Danio rerio: one gene and its partners. The protein of the gene in region 3 interacts with the protein of the main gene of each other region in a biochemical or structural test. Links are inferred from orthologs where the notes say so. Each region holds a gene or a part of one and is shown on either strand. Other genes may lie near its edges. The genes, in order: polb, pnkp, xrcc1 and aptx.

Region 1 (5,073 bases), on a different chromosome or scaffold from region 3:
TGTGTTTTTTTTATAATTGATTATATTAAGGATCTGCTCTCATTCATGTTTAGTTGTTCAAGGCATTGCAGCGATTGCTCATATCTAGCAGTAACATATTATCTATGCCAGTGGTTCTCAAACTTTTTACATCAAGTACCACCTCTAAAAAAATTGTCCCTCCAAGTACCACCATATGACCAGTCATGAAATACAGTAGTGTAGTAGGCCTAATCAAGCAGCTACAACTCTGCAGAGTTTAAAAACGTGGGAGATTAATTACTATTATTAATAAAATTTATTATTTAAACCTTATAAATCGTTTGAACATTAACACTGCTGGGGGTTTTTTTATGTAAAAAACCAAACAAACAAAATAACATGGCAACATTTAAATTAAAATGTGCTTTTAAAAGTTAAAAAATGAAAAAAAATCTCCTGTACTTAAATGTGTTAAGTGTTAACCTGTAGCATCCTATTCATCAAAGCCTGGAAATGCTGCTTGGACCTCATAAATATAGGCTATATGCAGGGCCAGACGGAATCTGCAGACATTTTTTGCTATTTCTGCTGAGAATTTTGGTAAAAATCTGCGGATTTCTGCGGAATTATTTTGGGAGTATCCAGTGGAGTATCATAACTAAAACCTTAATATATTAAATAAAAAGTAATAAATTACTGAATAAAAACTGAATAAATTCAGATTTACTCAAGTAAATAAACAGATTTAATAATGGGCTAAAAATCTGCGTAATTCTGCGTGAGCAGATTTCGTGTGGGCCTAACTATATGTCATCATATTCATATATGAACCATTTTTTAAACATTGAAACATATGTTGCATGTACATATGACATATTGGATTACTTTGCGTACCACTAGAAAGCAGCCCGCGTACCACTAGTTTTACCACAGTTTGAGAACCACTGATCTATACTATTCAATATGAGACAGACTGTTCTCTTCAATATATCATAATAAAACAGTACAATATTCAGATTCATTTTGAAAAAACGCAGAAAATAAAACTGATATTTAGTATTTTTAATGGAGGATCCAAATGTTTAAACAGAAATCCTGCATCCTCATAATACGGCTAGACTATTATGCCAACAAAAAATATCTTAATATCATCATAATAGGTCATACAGACTTTAAATAACACACAATCCTCATTCATATTTTAGCATGGGAGTATGCTGAAAGACATGTTTGCTGCTTTATCTGAGACAATATGATATCTATAAGCACAGTATTGACAAAACCACAACATTCTTTCTTCACTCTTGTATTTAAAACAAAATCATATACATGACTATTATGACTAAAAAGCACCATCAACAGCAGTCATGTAGCTGCTTTAGTGAGTTTAAAAACTCAAACACAGACACTCCCTTTATGTCTTTTCTACTATTAAAATACACTATTATGAGCTAAACGACCAACACACACACAGTCTGCTCTTTAATGTGCTTTTGTTTCACTCGCTGCGGTCCTTCGGCTCTCTGTATTTCCACTGGATGTACTCAAAGATGTCCTTCTCACTGTCCACCAGCAGAGGCTCTCCTGCCACACCTGAACCACAGATAATAAGTTAACGAAGAAAAAAAAAGGCTGTATTGTATTTTTTAGAAATCACGTTTTTTGTTCAGTTGTAGTCTTAAAATGTGATCTCTGAAAATTACAACAAACAAAAACAGATCAAATGTGCATTTCAATCATGTATTTTTGTGATTGTACTCTTCAGTGAACACCATTAAAACATCATATCTCAAAGCTCGTAAAAACTGAATTATCCGTTATTATTAACTGAATCTTTATTTGTTCATACACTTGTGCAGGTATATGTTGTAGGTTATTTCTTATAGCATTTTTTATATTATGTTTGTGTACTATATTGTATAATCATTCATTCATTCATTCATTCATTCATTCATTTTCCCTCGGCTTAGTCCCTTTATTTATCAGGGGTCCCAACCAAGGAATGAACCGCCAACAATTCCAGCATACGTTTTACACAGCGGATGCCCTTCCAGATGCAACTCAGTACTGGAAAACATCCATACCCACTCATTCACTACCCAATTCACCTATAGTCCATGTGTTTGGACTGTGGGGGAAACCGAGCACATGGTGGAAACCCGCAACAACACGGGGAGAACAAGCAAACTGACCTAGCTGGGACTCATACCAGCGACCCTCTTGCTGTCAGGGCTAACTACTTAGCCACCGTGTTGCCCACTATATTGTATATGTACATGCTTTATAAGCATATAAATATGAAATGAGTTTTGTTTTTAATTCAAAAAAGTACATGACAGGAAGGTGTTTTTGTTCTTTGTTAACAAATAATAAGGACTGCCAAATAATAAGAAAATTATAAAAGAAAAAAAAAAAAAAACATTATATATATATGTGTGTAAAGTTCATGATGAACCAGTCTGTGGCTCACACTATGTCACTGTCTGAATTCACACACTCATTTTTGTTTTCTTTCCTAATCCAGGTAACTCAACTGCACTACACTATATCCGCTTGTTAAATGTGACGTCACGCGAAGCGGCTTCCGGGTCCAAGCGCTATATCAAATATTTTCAAAGCGTTGCAATACTTTTGAAAATCATGAGCGCGATATATATATATATATACACAACAGTTCTGTCTGGTTCTTGAATCTGATTGGCTGATAGCCGTAATATATTTAAGTAATATCAGCACCCGTACAGCCTCTTTACGCTTTGTGTATTACTCCGCCCACATACAGCCAGCAAAAAGCAGATCTAAAGTTTAAAAGATGCTTGCTCAACTGTTTAACTGTCAGCTTATGATTTGTATCCAACGTGAAAGAAAGTAGTTCCTCATACAAAAGGGTTTTTAAGACTCTCCATGTTTGATTTTGTTTTTATATACACAATTATGCCATCAAACTGTTGTATATCACACTCGTAGCAGTGCAATATGGCTGTATATCAGCACTGGTGGGGGCACTAAGGCACTCGGCCTGCGGCCTCGTGCCAACGCACGAATGCTACTTGTGTGATATTGCTCATATATATATATATATATATATATATATATATATATATATATATATATATATATATATATATATATATATATATATATATATATATATATATATATATATATATATATATATGCCTATTATCCAATGGCCAGAAAGTGATGAATTTTTTATAAATTGTTAAAATATTGGTGTCTGAGATGCAGCAAGTCCAGAGACTGTTGTGTACACCATGATTTAATATAAAATTCACTTTAATGTGTGATAGGACTAAAAAGTGGTCATAAACAAATATTTTTTCAATTCAGTGGCTTGGACCCGGAAACAGTATTTCATACGTCACCACTTAACAAGCGGATTAAGATTAGTGAATGAGTGAACAAGTGTGTGTGGCTTTAGACACAGCTCACACTAGACTGTCAGATGGACACAGTTTCTGTCCTGTGCTGTAAATGTGTGCGGTTGTGTGTGTCTCACCAGTGACGCCCAGTGGACGGATGGTGTACTCATTGAGCGTGAAGCCTTTCTCTAGTGCGTGAGTCCTCATGTTCTTGTTGAATATATCACTGCCGGTGAAATACAGCACACCGCAGTAATACTGATCTTTAGGGATAAGCCTGCAGATACAGAGAAAGAGATGTGAGGAAAATGCAGGAAAAAAATACATATGACTATTTCCTCTTGTGATGTTTTATGATAAAACCGGATGTTTTCCTGTTTGGTTGTGGATTCTAAAAATCTGAATAATAGTATGAGATTCTAGACTGATCATTTGTAATATAATTTTATATTTAAGTTCACTTCAGATTTAAGTTCATATATTTAAGTTCATTTTACATTTAAGTTGTAGTGATGGGCAAAATCTTCAGTGTAAAATGTTTATTTTAGGTTAAAATCATAGGCAACTTTGTTGTATTTAAACGAATCTGGTGGTGTCAAATCTGGTGGTGTGAAATTATAGCGAATTTAATAATCCAATATGTCTCTTTTGCATGCACAAAAATAAAAATCATAATCATCATGCTTAAACACAACCTCTTTTGTTGCATGAAAAATAATGGTAAAATTGTATAAAACAGTCGCATCACAGCATTTCATAAAACATTTACAACAGTGTTTCTCAACCATGTTCCTGGAGGCCCACCGCTATGTTTTGGATGTCTCCATTGCCTGATACACCCATTACAGGTCTTTCAGTCTCTGCTAATGAGCTGATGATCTGAATCAGGTGTGTTTGGTTAAAAATCATGGAAAATGTGCTGGTGGTCCTCCAAGAACATGGTTGAGAAACACTGGTTTAGAAGACAGAAAGTACCTAGTTATTATCAGTTTTAGTTGATGTTGTCAAGGCAAAGGAATAAATTAACAAAGTATTAAACAAAGAAATAAAACCTATATACACATGCAATTATTTAGAAAAACACATAAATACAGAAATTACATAAATATATATATATATATATATATATATATATATATATATATATATATATATATATATATATATATAAACAATAAATGCAAGATCACTAAAGCCAATAATTCTAAATTTAACAAAAAACAGAAACTGCAAAAATAAAAACTACCTCAAGATGTTAATAATATAATATTAACATCATAAATATAATAATATCAATAATATAATACCAATGATAGTAAAATAACTCAAAAGTACCTGATATCAATACGGCGGTGTAAAGACTCCTCCTCCTCCTCCTCTTCTTCTTTTTCTTTCTGCAGCTGACACACACCCTGAAGAATAAAAAAAACATGTTTTATTTCACATTCACTATAATTTATTAATATTTGAAATGCACAAATAAGACGGCCGAGAGACTCACCATGAATTTAGTGTCTCCTTTAGACAGTGTGTCAGTAATGAAGCCGATGGACTCCAGATGATCCACAACGGCATGAAGGAGCTTCGGCTGAATAATGATGTAATATAATAAGAATAATAATGTTATATTAATAATAATATTTGTTTATTTATGCTTTTCTGACATATCAGCTTCACTGGCCATTTTCATGACAACATTACCAATATAAATTCGATATATAGTTTATAA
Region 2 (4,515 bases), on a different chromosome or scaffold from region 3:
AAACATCATTTGGCAAATGTTAAAAAGAGAAGAAAAAAAATCAAAAGAGGGCTAATAATTCTGACTTCAACTGTACTGTATGTATGTATATGTATGTATATATATATATATGTATGTATATATATATATATATATATATATATATATATATATATATATATATATATATATATATATATATATATATATATATATATGTATACAAATAGTGTTTTTAGTTCCAGTGAAAGTAACTGTTAATGCTTCAACATATCAAATTATTATAGATAATTTCAATTAAACAGTCTTGGGATGCCTCTTCTGAACTTTTGACAGCATATCAGTGCAAAAGATCCATAAAAAAAAATTAATGGGTGGAATTGGCTTGGAGGAACTTGACTGGCCTGCACAGAGTCCTGAACTTAACCCAATAAAACACCTTTGGCACAAATGTTGCCAGGCCTTTTCATCTACCATTATTGCCTGACCTCAAAAATACACTTCTAGACAATGGCCAAAAATTGCCCTAAACACACTTCTAAACTTTGTGGAAATCTGTTATTGATGCAAAAAAAGTGGTCAACTCATATTAAAAGTAGAATATCATAAAATTTTATGTGAATTTAACTGCAGATGTCCCAAAACACAAAAACCAAATGCAGAAACTTGCAAAATATTACTAATACGGTATGTTTATCCACTGTTTTGTAGTGTCTGCAGTTTATTTATTTTATTATTTTATTTAATTATCTTTTTTTCTTACAATGGAGATATTTGTGTTTTAATGACCTGCAGTATTACGCCACATTTAAACTGATGCAAACTCATGTGTTGAGCCATAATTACTCAATTATGTTTAAGAAACAATGTGAGAAGTTGAAAAACTGATAAGGAATCATCAATTGACACACTCCCATCAGTTCTACAGTCACTGTTTGTGGTAAAAACATTGAGTTACACACAAACACAACATTTAGAGGATGAGCTTTCTCTGATTTCTGAGATCTTGCAGTAAACAAAAATGTTTTGTAGACAAGAAAAAAAAAACTTCAATATTGAAGCATATTAATTGTATTTATTGCGAATGTCAATCTGAAACAAGCAATTATTTCTCCAGTTTAAAAAATAATATACATAAAAGACAATTTTAATTCTATTGTCTTTACAGCCCGTCAGTTTTAGCAGCCATGAATGCATTTCCCAAACACCACATTTAAAAACTAGCATTAAAGACAAGTTTAATCACCTAAAGAAGACAATAAAATATAATAATTAGTCTTGTACTGGCACTAATGTTCTGATTTTAAATGAGGTTCTAGAATTTTCTTCACAAATTAGAGTCAGCCATTGTGTTTCATGATTTTTCTCACAAGTTTCACTCTTCAGCCCTCAGAGAATTGCTTGAACAGGAACTCTGACCTTTTGTCACTGAAACTGGGCACAAAATGGATCTGCAGGACTTCAGAAAAGCCCTCAGACAAGCTGGGCACCACAAACTTTTTCCTAAAAAGAACAAAACAGTGTTTTATTTATACATGTATTTAACGTTTAAAAAAAATGGATTTAGTTTAATAGTTCTATATTTAGTTAACCATAATAATTTTTATAAACAAATCTTTTTTTAGTTAAAGTAAATGAAAATAAGCCATTCCCTTAGCAGCTGGAACATAACATGTATCATGCAGTGGGAAAAATAAGTACTGAACACCACCATTTTTCTCAGAAAACATATTTCTAAAGGTGCCGTTGACTTGATTTGTTCCCCGGATGTTGAAAACAACAAAAGAAATCCATATATACACACAAAACAGATCTAATTAGTTTACAAATGAAGTTATGTGTAATAAAATGAAATGATGCAGGGAAAAAGTATTAAACACATGAAGAAAGGAAGGTGTAGAAAGGCGGTGAAAGCCCAGACAGCAGCTGAAATCTCTGTAGTTCTTCAGCAACCCTCTGCCCTTCATCATTGTAAATTAATATTAGCTGCTCTAGTCCAACATCTATATTAGCAGGATGATAACAATGAAACCTGAGTGGACATTTTAGCAAGAAAATGTCCCAAAACACAGCCAAGGAAACTCTCTCAGATTTTTTTGTTTTGTTTTACTTTTATGTTTGTATTGTTTGGGTTTTGACCAAAATCTGCTTCAATTCCATGTCAACAGCTCCCTAAGAAATATTATTCTTAGGAGAAAACATAGCGTATTCAATACTTATTCGTTTGTTTAGTATTTGTAATACATTTTCAATTATTCAATTTCAAGGAATATAATGGTTTTAGATTTATGCCAATAAATTTAGTCAGTAATGAGACAATATTTTATTTAGAGTTGAATTGAACATTTTTTATTGATTTAATATAGTTTGCTATTTTAGTACATTAAGCTAAATGAAAACAATACATATTTCCTAGGCAAACAGAAATTAAATAAGTTTTCAATGTATTTTATGCCAGTTTTAGTTCATTTACCTGCTGTATATTAGATAACAACATGGTTTCAGTGAAATAAAACAATAATCTTGGTTGCAATAACCTCATCTTGCTGCTCTTTTACTCACTTGTAGCTGTGAATCACCATGTCATTGACAGGAACATGCTTAGTTGCAGAAGGAACCATCTCACGAAACTGAAGACAGGAAAAAAGACAGATAAGAAAGTGTGACAATCAGAGTGAGTGTGCATTTCTGCCTTCATATTTTAAGTCAAGATACAGAGTTTCCAAAAGAAAAATAAAGTGATTGCTGCTTAAAATTTTATTATATAATTTTGCCCAAGCAAAGTTTTATATTTAATGTACTGCAGTTAAGACGGATACCCTGTTGTTATGCTTTGCTTGATCCAGACTGGCTGTAAAGTTGAAGCATCTGCAGGAAACACCAGCGCTTTGAGCCACATCTATATATCTGAAAATCATATATGATAGAATTTTATAATAATAATAATAATAATAAACCTTTTTTTTTATATGGCGCCTTTAATAGTCACATCTCAAGACATGTAAAATGTGAAGCAAAAAAAACATACATAGTGTGGAAAAATAAGTATTGAACACCACCATTCTTCTCAAAAACATATTTCTAAAGGTGCTGTTGACTTGAAATTTTCCCCAGATATTGGTAACAACTAAACAAACCCATATATGCAAAGACAATGATTAAAACACAGCCAAGGAAATTCTCAAATAGATTCAGAGAAAGAAAATTAAGCTGTATAATGGCCCAGCCAATCACCTGACTTAAATACAATAGATTATACAAAATAAAGATCAGATTTGATTGATGAGACCCACAGAACCTTCAAGATTTTTACACTGTTGAAATCTGTAAAAAAACACCTGAGCAATGCATGTGACTTCATTCTCCATATGTGAGAGGTGTCTTTAAGCTGCCATCATTTAAAAAGCCTTTAATTTAAAACATTAAATAAATTCCAGTAGTTCAGTACTTTCTCCTTGTGTCATTTCATTTTTATTACATATAACAATTTTTCAGATTTTGTTTGTTTTGTTTTATGCTTGTATTGTTTGAGTTTTTTAACAAAATCTGGTTTAATTCCACGTGAACAGCTCCTTTAGAAATGTCATTCCCAAGAAAAAACATGACGTGTTCAATACTTTCCCTGCAGTACAAGGATAAATGCAAAAACGTGCAATAAAAATTTTTATTAAAAATCAAAAATTAATAATAATAATAATAATAATAATAATATATAATAGAAATAGAAAAATAATAGAAAATAGAAAAATAAAAAATAAATAAATAAAAAGGTGAGTTTTAAGAGATGATTTAAAAATACTCAGGGATTCTGCATTGCAAATATCTGTATCAGTAAAGAGTTCCACAATTTAGGTGCCAATAAAAAGGCCAGAAGTTTAAAAAAAAAAAAAAAAAAAAAAAAAAAGCATCCATCTGCTCTGGAAATGGCTGGCACCTTTTTCTAGATTCTAGATCCGGGTTAGTGTTGTCCACCGCTACGCTTTTGCCTTCCTTTAGCGCACGTTCACAAGCTGATACACAGTGCTGCCACGAGCCCATTGTGTCCTGCAATTTAAAAGAGATATCTTAATCAATACACTTTTATAATAGTTTCATGATTATTTTACAATGTGGCAAATTGGTGGATAACTGAAGAATTCTCATTTGTTGATTTTTTTACACAACAATCAAACATTTTTGTGCAATTCACACCCAAAATACTGTTTATAGCAAATAACAACCTGTATATTATGTTAACTTATATTTGCACATCCCTGATCATTAATAGCAACCTGTATGTTTACTCATTCATTTATTTTCCTTCAGCTTAGTCCTTTATTTATTTGGGGTCACCAGAGTGGAATAAACCAGCAACTATTCCAGCATATGTTTTACACAGCGGATGCCCTTCCAGTTGCAGCCCAGTATTGGAAAACACCCATAGACTCTTGCATTCACACATACACTTATACACTATGGCCAATTTTGTTTATTCAGTTCACCTATAGTGCATGTCTTTGTACTATGGGGGAATGCAAAGCACCTGGAGGAAACCCA
Region 3 (5,762 bases):
CAGTAAGAATGATTAATAAATCCATATGAAACAGCCCCTTAAAGTCACATCTCGCTTTCAGTTTCGGGCTTTGGCACGTTTTGCACTCACACTACAAGTGTGAAACGGGGAACGGGCCTGGGCACGGTACGAATGGCATAGTGTGAGTAGGCCCTTAGTGTCTTCGTTGGTGAGTAAACTCAAAACTAATCCTCTAATTCGGAGTTTTGTTTAGCCACAAATACGATACAGGCTCCTGACCTCAGTTGAGAGCAAAAAAACTTACTGAAACTTACTGAAAGAAGGCAGACATGTTTGGTGAAATCATTCAAAAGTGACTTGAACAACTTATGGGAACATTCAGTTTATAAAGATCTTCTTATTCTGTTCTATTAAAACTGAGTCAACATTATGAACATTATGTTATATCACATGTGGGGTTTTGTGCATTTCAAGGCTGATGTATTTATAAATCACTGAAGGGAACTGAAAGTCTTTTAGGTCTGAGGACAATGACGATATTAACATTTTTTGAAGACTAAGACATGCAGCAAGACTGAGGCTTATTTTGTTAAACAGAAAGGCCAATCTGGGCCTGCAATGGAAAAAACAGGACATAGTGTGTGTCTTATGAGTGTGAAACCAGTCAAGGACATTCTGAAGAAGACAGAGGAGAAAAGCAACAGCACATTTCTGTAGAAAACTTTGAGTTTTTCAGATGTTCATGTTCGGTGTATTATTCTGTGCTCAGAGTTGAGAGAAACAGGAGAGACACAGGCTAAATTTACCTTGAAAATAAAACATGCTCTGAAACTACTGAACCTTTCTTTTGTGAATGAATGAATGAATAAATGAACAAATCATAAATAAATAAATAAAAATATCAATCACCTAATAAGGAGAGTGAATGAGCAAAATAAATAATTCAATGATGAATTATGAATGAGCGAACAATTAATTAATTAAGGGAAAAAAATTATGAATAATTAAATGAATGACTGAATTAATAAAGGAACAGTAAAACCAAAAGTAATTAAATCATTTAACAATTAATTAACAAATAATTATATGAATGAATGAATGTAGAAACAAATACATAAAAAGTACATAAACACATTATTCACCAAAAAAGGAGAGTGAATGAGCAAATGAACAATTCATTTAATGAATGACTGAACAATGAATGAAATGAATAAATGAAAAATAACGAAAGATTAATTAAGTGAATGAACGGTGAATCAAAATGTATTAAATGATTGAACAAGGAATAAATAATTGAATGAATGAAGGAACGAATAAACAGATAAATAAAAATAAGTACATAAACACATTAATGACCAAATAAGGAGAGTGAATGAGCAAATGAATCAAAAATTTAATGAATGAATAAATAATGAATGAACAGTTAATTAAATGAACGAATGAAAAATAATTAATAATTAATTAAATGAAGGAGCAGTGAATCAGAAATTATTGATAATAATTTGAATGAATAAATGAATGAATGAATGAATGAATGAATGAATGAATGAACGAACGAATGAATGAATGAATAAAGAAATAAAAAATAAGCACATAAACACAATGCAATTGTTATTAATGAATACATTAATAATTTAAATGAATAATTGAACAAATAAAGAAATAAAAAGTAAATAAACAAAGCAAATGAATAATTGAATGAATGAATGAATGAATGAATGAATGAATGAAAAATAATGAAAGATTAATTGAATGATTGAAGAGTAAGTCAAAATTATTAACTAGATGGTTAAACAAGGAATAAATTAATAAATATTTTAATGAATGAATGAATAAAAGTGAGTACATAAACACATTAATAACCAAATGAGTGAACGATAATTGATTTTTATAACTAATTTAAAAACTAAAGAATGAGTGAAGAATGAATCAAATGAATGAATGAAAAATAACTAATGATTAAATGCATGAATGAACAGTGAATCAAAATTAATTAATTATTAATTATTAATTAATTAATTGTTGTACAAATTAATGATTGAAAATTTATAATATAAAATAATTAATATAAGTCTAATATAAATCAGATTAATATAAATCAAGTAAAATAATCCATCTTCTGTTTGATTCTGACTTTTATTCTAAAGTCGAGAACGTGACATTCTGCCTCACAGGCGCTGATTGGTCGGCAGGCGGAAGTGACGTCGCGTGTTGTGGATTGAGAGGGAGTTTGTACGCGCGCTTGTGAAACTCTCTCACTCAGACTGGAATAAAGCTCAGAAGCGGCTTCAGCTCTGTTTGGATTTCGGTAAAGTGATGTTGAATCCATCAGAATGCGTATCTAAATATTTTTAGCCGCTTTTCTGGCATTTAATGGCGGTTCTGAAGCGCCTCTATTGTTTGCTCTGGTTAACTCGATCAGGCGGACTCTGCTAACTAGACCGAATAACAGTAAATTACTATAATTATCCGATTCATTAGTTTGTATTTTTATTTCATAAATCAGTCCACACGTCATGCTTTTTGTGTCAAATATTTCAGATTATTATGTAACGTAATGTGTTGTATAACAGCACACTTATTGTGTCTTAATACTGAAATATTGATGTGTTTTGACTGCTCATGTAGTATATATTTATGTCATATTGCCGCTATTTTCGCTCAATTAATCATCGTTACTAGAATTTTTCACTCTTAATTGATTCTATGCATGTTTAGAGTAAGGCTGGTTTGATTTGATGCTGTCTCGTTCAAGTGAATCGATTCAGTGAACTGATTCGAATACCTTATTCGCGATTTTTATTAGTTTGAATTTGAATTATTTTTGGAAATTCAAAAATCAATAAACACTAGTGAAAAGTCATGAAAATGAATGCTTAAAATTGTACGACATACTTTATTTTTAGCTTTTATAAACATGAAATATGATAATTCTTTGAAATTGTTTGTCTTGTTCAGTGTTTTCAGGTTTTTTGGGTCTTCATTTTTTGTTTATTTGTGAGGAAAATCAAGGTGTTAATGTTTGTAATTTATGCTTTTACGTCTCATTGATGGTAATATAGCTACATTATGCAATGTTCATGTGAGTCGATTCAGTGAACCGATTCGTATATTAATTCGCAATTAAGTCTGAACTGAGATGAGTTCTTCATTCTCTCAACAAAAACTACTAGGAAAAAGTATGTCACATGGCTGAGCTTTATCTTATGGTTTCTGTTAACATGATAATTAATGACTAATGAAGTCATGTCTTCGCTTTTTCAGGTTTATGAGCAACGATTCAATTGTTTGATTCAGAGAACATGCCTGAACTCAAACTCAAGCATGTCGTGTCCTGCAGCAGTGAAGATAATGTAAGAATTCTGTTACACTATTGATATTAACAACATTTACTGACACTTAACAATCAACACACAAACCTGAGAACTAGACTGATTCATTGATTCAGCTGAATCTATTGACTCATTGGTTTGAACCGAGTCACTGAACTTGAAATGCAGTAGGGCTGTAGATGTTCAAAAATAAAATCAGAAATTGGGATACCTTGCATTAAATATATCACGATATGAATACAGTTTCACTAAATGGCTTGAAGAGCTCTATTTAGGAACAGTTCATTAAATTGATTGGAAATTGATTGGAATGATTCTCCAAGGCTGTGTTTCCCAACCCTGTTCCGGGAGGCACCCCAACAACTTTATATTTTAGTTGTTTGCAACAAGACAAATGGTAGTTAAATTAGATTAATAACAGGATCCTGATCACCAATTAAAGAGTTTGTTCTTGATTGTTTACTTTTTCTGCACAGACTCATAAAGCAGACAACCTCTTGAGCTCCGACACTTACAGAAAATGGAAAGCTGCGAGACCTGGAGAAAAGCAAGTTTCTGTCATCCTTCAAGTATGTCTGACTTATTTTTGTTAATTATTATTATTATTATTTATTTTAAAATTGTTCTTAAGTTAGTTTCAAATTAACAACATATTAAATATATTATTATTATTATTATTTTAATAACATTTTTATTTATTTAATGTATATTATTATTATTTTAAGATGCCTTAATGCCACTTGCAGATGTTTTTTTAACCTGCATGTCTTGTTCCTCCAGTTGGAAAAGGAAGAGCAAATTCACAGCATAGACATTGGAAATGAAGGCTCTGCTTTCATCGAGGTCCTTGTCGGACACTCCACGTCTGTCAAAGATCAAGACTTTGAGGCGAGTCTTAAAGTTTTGAGCTTTTCATTTTTGCATCTTATGAAAACATGTTAGTTTTAGTGAGTTTTGTCTTCAGTCAGTTTTATTAGCATGCATTTTTACAGAGTCATAATGTTAGTGTGTAGTGTATTGATATTTTCATGTCTCATGGATGGTAATATAGCTAGATTAAGCAGTGATGTATACAGTCAATCAGTTGTTGAGGTTTCCTGTATGTCTGTGTGTGTATGTTTGTACATATATTGCGTTTTGCAAAAGAGTATTATTTTAAATAAATACTACTAGTGTGTGTGTATGTTTGTGTGTGTGTGTGTGTGTGTGTATATATATATATATATATATTTATATATATATATATATATATATATATATATATATATATATATATATATAGTTTTATTATTATTATTATTTGTTTTTTAATAATACAAAATATTATAATAAATAATAAAATATATTAATAATAAATAATAAAAATTTAAATATGTATATGTATATATATATATATATATATATATATATATATATATATATATATATATATATATATATATATATATACATACATACATCATTTTATTATTATTTTTTTTTTTAAGTTTAGAGTTCTGATTCATTCATTTTTATGTTAATTTTAATCATTGAAATTATTGTAAAATTTTATTTATTTTTAAAATATTATATAATTGCTGTTTAAAAGAGCAAGAAAATGTTCACAGTATTTAATATATAATTATATTATAACCTTGTAATATTTTTCTTTTGGAGAATGTCTTGCTATTAGTTTTGCTGGGGGGGAAAATAATAATAATAAAAAAAATATATAAATATGTATATATATATTAATAAATGTATTTTAAAGTTGTCCAATGACTTGCCTAATTACCCTAGTGAAGCCTTTAAATCTCACTTTAATCTGTATAGAAGTGTCTTGAAGAATATCTAGTCTAATAATATTTACTGTCATCATGACAAAGATAAAATAAATCAGTTATTAGAGATGAGTTATTAAAACTAATACGTTTTAAAGTGTTATATGGAAATATGGCATATGTAAATGGCAATAATTAAAATTATTTAAATTTAAAGGGGTCTTCAATCCATTTTGCCATTAAATAGCCACAAGTTGCTGATGTGGCAATAAATAAAAATAGGAGTCTTCAACTAAAATAGATATAAACCGCATGTTTACTCTTCTGCATTGTTTTGTAGGTTCTGCTGGTCACATCGTCCTTCATGTCGCCCACTGAGAGCCGAAACGGCACAAACACAAACCGTGTGCGTTTCTTCGGGCCCGGTCAGCTGGTGAAGGCGCAATCACAGGAGAAGTGGGATCGCGTGAAGATCGTCTGCAGTCAGCCCTACAGCAAGGTCAGGGGGAAAAACTTAGCACACCATAATCATAGTTTTCAGTCTTGTGATGAGCTTTTCAATCATTCTGGAGGAGTTTTGGAGTTGTCTGCACAGCTTTTCAGCATTTAAATGTAACATTTTAAGTATCAATTGACATTAAAGAGCACCTTTTATGCAAATCACTTTTCTAAGGGGTTTAAACACAGTTGTGGGTCAGCAGTGTATGAA
Region 4 (5,608 bases), on a different chromosome or scaffold from region 3:
TTAATTTTCTTATCAGCTAAGTCCTTTTATTAATTAGGGATCGCCACAGCGGAATGAACCGCCAACTTATCCAGCATGTTTTTTTAGGAAGAGGATGCCCTTCCTGCTGCAACCCATCTCTGGGAAACATCCACACACACTCATTCACACTCATACACAACAGACAATTTAGTCTACCCAATTCACCTGTACTGCATGTCTTTGGACTGTGGGGGAAACTGGAGCACTCGGAGGAAACTCACGTGAACGCAGGGAGAACATGCAAACTCCACTGAAACGCCAACTGACCCAGCCGAGGCTCAAACCAGTGACCTTCTTGCTGTGAAGCAATTGTGCTACCCACTGTGCCACTAAATGTAACCAAAGAAAACAAAATCAACAAAATGAATGTTGAATAAAATTAAATGAAATAAAAGCGGTTGGCTAATAATGTAGAGATTTTGTGTAATTTGTTATGGAAAATAAAGTATTTGCATTAAAATGGAAAAAACTAAATAAAAAAAAGCTACAATAAATGTAGGTTACTTAATAGCCTACTGTAATCTGTAATAAAATAAATTAAAACAAAGTCAAATGTCCTGCTTATATATATATATATATATATATATATATATATATATACATATATATATATATACATACACACAATTTTATTTATATACATATATATTATATATACATACATACACACACGCACGCACACATATTTATATATATATATATATATATATATATATATATATATATATATATATAATAATAAAATTGTATTATTTATTAAAACAATATAAAATGGATTCACTAACTGTCTAGGGATGTTGTTGTGTAATTTGCTACAATAAAATATCATTTTTTAATAAAAATAAAATAAAAAGTGGTCGGCTATTTTTTTTATCAATTTATTATTTATTAGGAACATAATAACTTGTGGTGAACTAAACGATGGTGCAGTGGGTAGCATGTTCGCCTCACAGCAAGAAGGTTGCTGGTTCAGTCTCGCCTGAATCAGTTGGCATTTCTGTGGAGTTTGCTTGTTCTCCCCCTGTTCGTGTGGGGTATCTTGACAGTCCAAAGACATGTGGTACAGGTGACCTGGATATGCTAAATCTGATCATAGTGTATGTGTGTGAATGAGTGTGTATGGATGTTTCCCAGAGATGGGTAGTAACCATGGGTAGTACCGCTGAGTAAAACATATGCTGGATAAGTTGGCGGTTCATTCCGCTGTGGCGACCCCTGATTATGAAAGAGAATAAGCCGAAAAGAAAATGAATGAGTGAATAATTACTTGCCTTAAAATAAAAACAAAATCCAAATAAATCAACAGTAGGAGCGTTTAAACTGTCTGCATTAAGTAACACTATTCTATACTCTATAAAATTAAACTCCATAAAGTGATGTTATATTATTTTTAAAGTGTAGTTACAGGAAATCTGTCCACAAACTCCACTAAATCTGACGTGTATACATCTACATCTGCTAGATACCTCATACTACATTCCTATATATTATTAAGACACTGTCACTTTATAATACTCATCATATGTACAAGCCTTTTATACTATATACTTTGCATTATAGTGTACTTTTTCCTCTTTATACTGTTTTGCATCTGCACAACTCTGGTTTGCTCTCCTTGCCTTGTGCCCTTAAGTGTAATTGTATCGTGTACAATTTTAATTTTTACTTATATTTTTAGATTATATTATATGTGTAATTGTATTTATTTTAATATCTTTTTTAAAATTCTACTTTTTGAATTAACATCATCTTTTTTGTATTAACATTATCTGTTAGGCACCTAGGTAAGATTAGTTCACGTCATCTTTCAGCCAGTAGTTGGCAGCAAGCGCGCATGACGTGCTGTTTGTTGACACCAACGAACAAGAGCGAGCGAGCGAGCGTCATGTGTTGCACTTTTATGTTTACGACTACCACACTTTTTTCTACCGTAGCTTTATTACACTAACACAGTAAGTAACGAACATAAGTGGGTTTTAGAAAAGCACCGTAGACTATATGTATACGCAATAGCATTATAACGTGTAATATGGTGTGTGTTTTCAGGAGATGCCTGTGTGTTTACTAGTAAGTGAAGATAATTCACACAAACCCATTGAGCTCCATCACCAACAGTCTGTGACTCTGGGTCGAGGACCAGACACTAAGATAAAAGACAAGAAGTGCTCTAGAGAACAAGGTATTTTTGCATATAAAAAGCAAATAAAAAAACGGCCTCTTTATTTTAGAAATACAACGTCTTTTCTTTTTTGCAGTTGAATTGAGAGCTGATTGCAACAGGGGATTTGTCACTGTTAAACAGGTCTGCTGGAGAATTATAATATCAAAGCAAATATTAATACAATATATACTGAGCTGAAATATATGTCAAATAATGCAAATTAGTTTTCAATACCACAAAAAAAAGTTTATTTCTTGGTGTAAAGTTGGTTTTATATTTTGACTTTCTCCTTTAATAATAAATTAAAATACTTGTTACTCACCAAAATGGATTTGAACCAGATATTTTATTATAACAGCCTTTTAGAAGTTAATTTATAAAACGTAATAACGTTTGAACCTGTTTATTTGATGTTTTTAATAGCTGGGTGTGAATCCGACACTTGTGGATGATGTGGTTGTGGGCAAAGGCAATCAGGTACAGTGTTTTTAAAATATTCTGAAAAAGTATTTAATATACGGACTAGGGCTGCACGATTCTGGCAAAAATGTGAATCACAATTTTTAAAATTTTTTTTTGCTTAAAATCAAGATCACGATTTTCTCACGATTCTGTAAATGTAAAATAAAGGTTAATAAGTTTAGCCTATTATTAAACATATGGTAAAACAACAACAACAATTATAGACCCATGTGTAGCTCTACTGTTGCTTAAAATGCAAAATTTTGTATAGTCATTATCCTAGACTTGAGCAGACTTCCAATATGTCCTGTTTGTTAATTCACAGTAACAGCATGACTTTATATTCTATACTGTACATTATTTCTGTTAAGTGACAAGACTGTTGTCTAAGCAAAGTCAGACCTTACTGTCCTAATGAAATCATTAAAAATCAAGGCATGATCATATTTTATTTTGGTAAAATAATCATAATTTAGAGTCATTTGCCTTTCATACAAACCAATTGTGATACTAAATGATCAACTATAAGTCAAATTATTACTTAACTTGGATACAAGACAAGATTTTTTTGAGGTAGTGTGTGTGTGTGTGTGTGTGTGTGTGTGTGTGTGTGTGTGTATATATATATATATATATATATATATATATATATATATATGTATGTGTGTGTGTGTGTGTGTGTGTGTATAGATATATTTATATGTATTTATGTATGTATATCTATGTATGTATGTACATATATATATATATATTTATATATATATATATATATATATATATAAATATAATGGTATAATATATGTAATTTTAATACAAGTTTTATTAAGTTAACACAAGGCAAAGTAAAAATGAAAATTGTACATTATTATTATAAACATCAGACACATAAACAGTAGTATTTGCTTCGATAAAATATTCTATGAACACATTTACAACATCTAAAATGCCAAGTATTTTTTATTTTTTTTTTAATATCTGATAAGATGCAATTATTATTTTATTCAGCTTCTAGCAAACCAGCTGTGTCGATAATTGTCCGGTTGTCTTGTAATTGAGGCTGTATTGCACAGGTCTCTGGTCTGCTTAACATCACACAAACCAAATGTCGCCCACCTCTGCAAGCAGGTGAGCATAAAGCCGGGTCAGAGACTCTACATGGTCAATCAGCAGTATCCTTACAGTGTGAAGTTCACGGAGGACACGTCCAGATCCAAACCCTCCAAAAGAGCCCAGCAGATCCAGAGCCCTACAAAAACAACAGCAGATGTGTCAGACAGCCCACCTCCACCCAAAAAAACAACACCACCTGCTGGTGAAAAATCGGTGAGTTTCTTTTAGATGTATAGGTTGGGAAGTTTCAGTATTTATGCAATAGGAGTATACAGTGCTCGGCATAAATGAGTTTGCAAAATGAATATTTTTATCAATTTCTCAGTGAATATATGTCATATTTTGGTGCATTTGACCAAAACAGATTTATTAAACAGATATATGTATTGAAATAATATTTTAGTCACTGAACATCTGTAGTAATAGAAAGATAAAACATGCAAAAACAATTACAAACTACAAAAATTTCAACAAAATTGTATATATTTATTTGTTTATTTTGTATATAATATTATTTTAGATTTATTTTTTCAATGTGTATGTAATATTTTCCCCTAGTATATACATTTGTTTTTTTTTTGGAGTGTTATCATAAGTTATTTTGTTAGATAAGCTCCAGATTTCGGTACTGAATAATCTATAATATAATATTGTAAAGCTTCCTAGAGAAAATATGAATTCAAAAGAGAGATCTGTGAGATATTTTACTCATATATGCTCTATTATAATGGTTGCACTTAAAGTTTTCATTAAGTAATGTATTTACCAACATGATCTAATAATGAACAATAATTGTGCATCATTTATTAATCACAGATTTACTAGATTATTATTAAAATGCAAATTCATTCTTGTTAGGATTAGTTAATGTACTGAGTGAACTATGAAAAACTGTATTTCTATCAACTAAAATGTAACAAAGATCAATAATACTGTTATAAATGTGCTGTTTGTTATTAAATACATGAATGAATATGACCTTATTTCAAAGTAAGTCTCTTAAAATAAAGTGCATTATATGATTTTCAAGTGCTTTTGCTTTAAATTAATATTTGCCATGAGGTTGGAGAAAACTTTAAAGGTCTTTATTTAAGATTTATGTTGAAATGCTGATGTATTTTACCACATTTAAAGTGTTGATTTTGGACTAAAACAGTGGAAACCCCTCTGTTTTGAAGGAGTCTGCTGGGCACTGGAGCCAAGGACTTAAAGCGTCAATGCAGGACCCCAAAATGCAGGTTGGAGTGTGTTATTATATTATAATATATTGATATTATATGGTTATATGGTTGAAAACAAAATTATTAGCCATCCTGTGAAATTTTATATTATTTTTAACTTGCCAAGTTAACCTAATTAACCTGGTTAAGCCTTTAAATGTCATTTTAAGCTAGTATCTTGAAAAATATCTGGTCAAATATTGTGCTGTCATCATGGCAAAGATAAAAGAAATCAGTTGTTAGAAATGAGTGATTGAAACTATGGTTTAGAAAAATCCTCTCTCTGTTAAAAAGAATTCAGAGAAAACATACACAGGAGGGCTAATAATTATGTATATTGAGCCTAACAGCTGTCATGCATGTTGTGTTCAGGTGTATAAAGACGACAGCGTGGTGGTAATCAAGGATAAATACCCGAAGGCTCGTTATCACTGGTTGGTTTTGCCGTGGCAGTCGATCTCCAGCCTGAAGGCACTGCGCTCCGAGCACGTGGAGCTGCTCAAACACATGCAGCGGGTGGCAGATCAGATGGTGGAGCAATGTCCTGATGCCCACAAACTGAGCTTCCGGCTCGGCTACCACGCCATTCCCAGCATGAGGTACACGCCCCTGCACACTGATTGGCCTGTGATGA

Evidence for each region.
Region 1: the proteins of xrcc1 (region 3) and polb form a complex in vitro, tested with the Homo sapiens proteins (5 studies listed by BioGRID, with this or other methods). The link is inferred for Danio rerio from reciprocal best matches to the Homo sapiens genes XRCC1 and POLB.
Region 2: the proteins of xrcc1 (region 3) and pnkp form a complex in vitro, tested with the Homo sapiens proteins (3 studies listed by BioGRID and IntAct, with this or other methods). The link is inferred for Danio rerio from reciprocal best matches to the Homo sapiens genes XRCC1 and PNKP.
Region 4: the proteins of xrcc1 (region 3) and aptx form a complex in vitro, tested with the Homo sapiens proteins (2 studies listed by BioGRID). The link is inferred for Danio rerio from reciprocal best matches to the Homo sapiens genes XRCC1 and APTX.

The regions. Positions count from the first base shown.
Region 1 is NC_133183.1:3,695,365-3,700,437, reverse strand, and holds the end of polb (DNA polymerase beta), read right to left. Parts: intron 4,933-5,073; coding exon 4,846-4,932; intron 4,757-4,845; coding exon 4,680-4,756; intron 3,622-4,679; coding exon 3,482-3,621; intron 2,343-3,481; exon of another isoform or gene 1,555-2,342; coding exon 1,460-1,554; 3' UTR 1,005-1,459; downstream 1-1,004.
Region 2 is NC_133190.1:16,207,920-16,212,434, forward strand, and holds the end of pnkp (bifunctional polynucleotide phosphatase/kinase), read right to left. Parts: intron 4,024-4,515; coding exon 3,914-4,023; intron 2,887-3,913; coding exon 2,799-2,886; intron 2,610-2,798; coding exon 2,542-2,609; intron 1,483-2,541; coding exon 1,362-1,482; 3' UTR 1,033-1,361; downstream 1-1,032. UniProt on the Homo sapiens protein: Plays a key role in the repair of DNA damage, functioning as part of both the non-homologous end-joining (NHEJ) and base excision repair (BER) pathways.
Region 3 is NC_133191.1:58,599,051-58,604,812, forward strand, and holds the start of xrcc1 (DNA repair protein XRCC1), read left to right. Parts: upstream 1-2,167; 5' UTR 2,168-2,269; exon of another isoform or gene 2,270-2,271; intron 2,272-3,225; 5' UTR 3,226-3,263; coding exon 3,264-3,314; intron 3,315-3,769; coding exon 3,770-3,862; intron 3,863-4,073; coding exon 4,074-4,181; intron 4,182-5,393; coding exon 5,394-5,552; intron 5,553-5,762. UniProt on the Homo sapiens protein: Scaffold protein involved in DNA single-strand break repair by mediating the assembly of DNA break repair protein complexes. Negatively regulates ADP-ribosyltransferase activity of PARP1 during base-excision repair in order to prevent excessive PARP1 activity.
Region 4 is NC_133176.1:55,998,239-56,003,846, reverse strand, and holds the start of aptx (aprataxin), read left to right. Parts: upstream 1-1,906; 5' UTR 1,907-1,973; intron 1,974-2,043; exon of another isoform or gene 2,044-2,067; 5' UTR 2,068-2,070; coding exon 2,071-2,200; intron 2,201-2,276; coding exon 2,277-2,323; intron 2,324-2,605; coding exon 2,606-2,659; intron 2,660-3,461; exon of another isoform or gene 3,462-3,714; coding exon of another isoform or gene 3,715-3,769; coding exon 3,770-3,967; intron 3,968-4,932; coding exon 4,933-4,992; intron 4,993-5,346; coding exon 5,347-5,573; exon of another isoform or gene 5,574-5,599; intron 5,600-5,608. UniProt on the Homo sapiens protein: DNA-binding protein involved in single-strand DNA break repair, double-strand DNA break repair and base excision repair.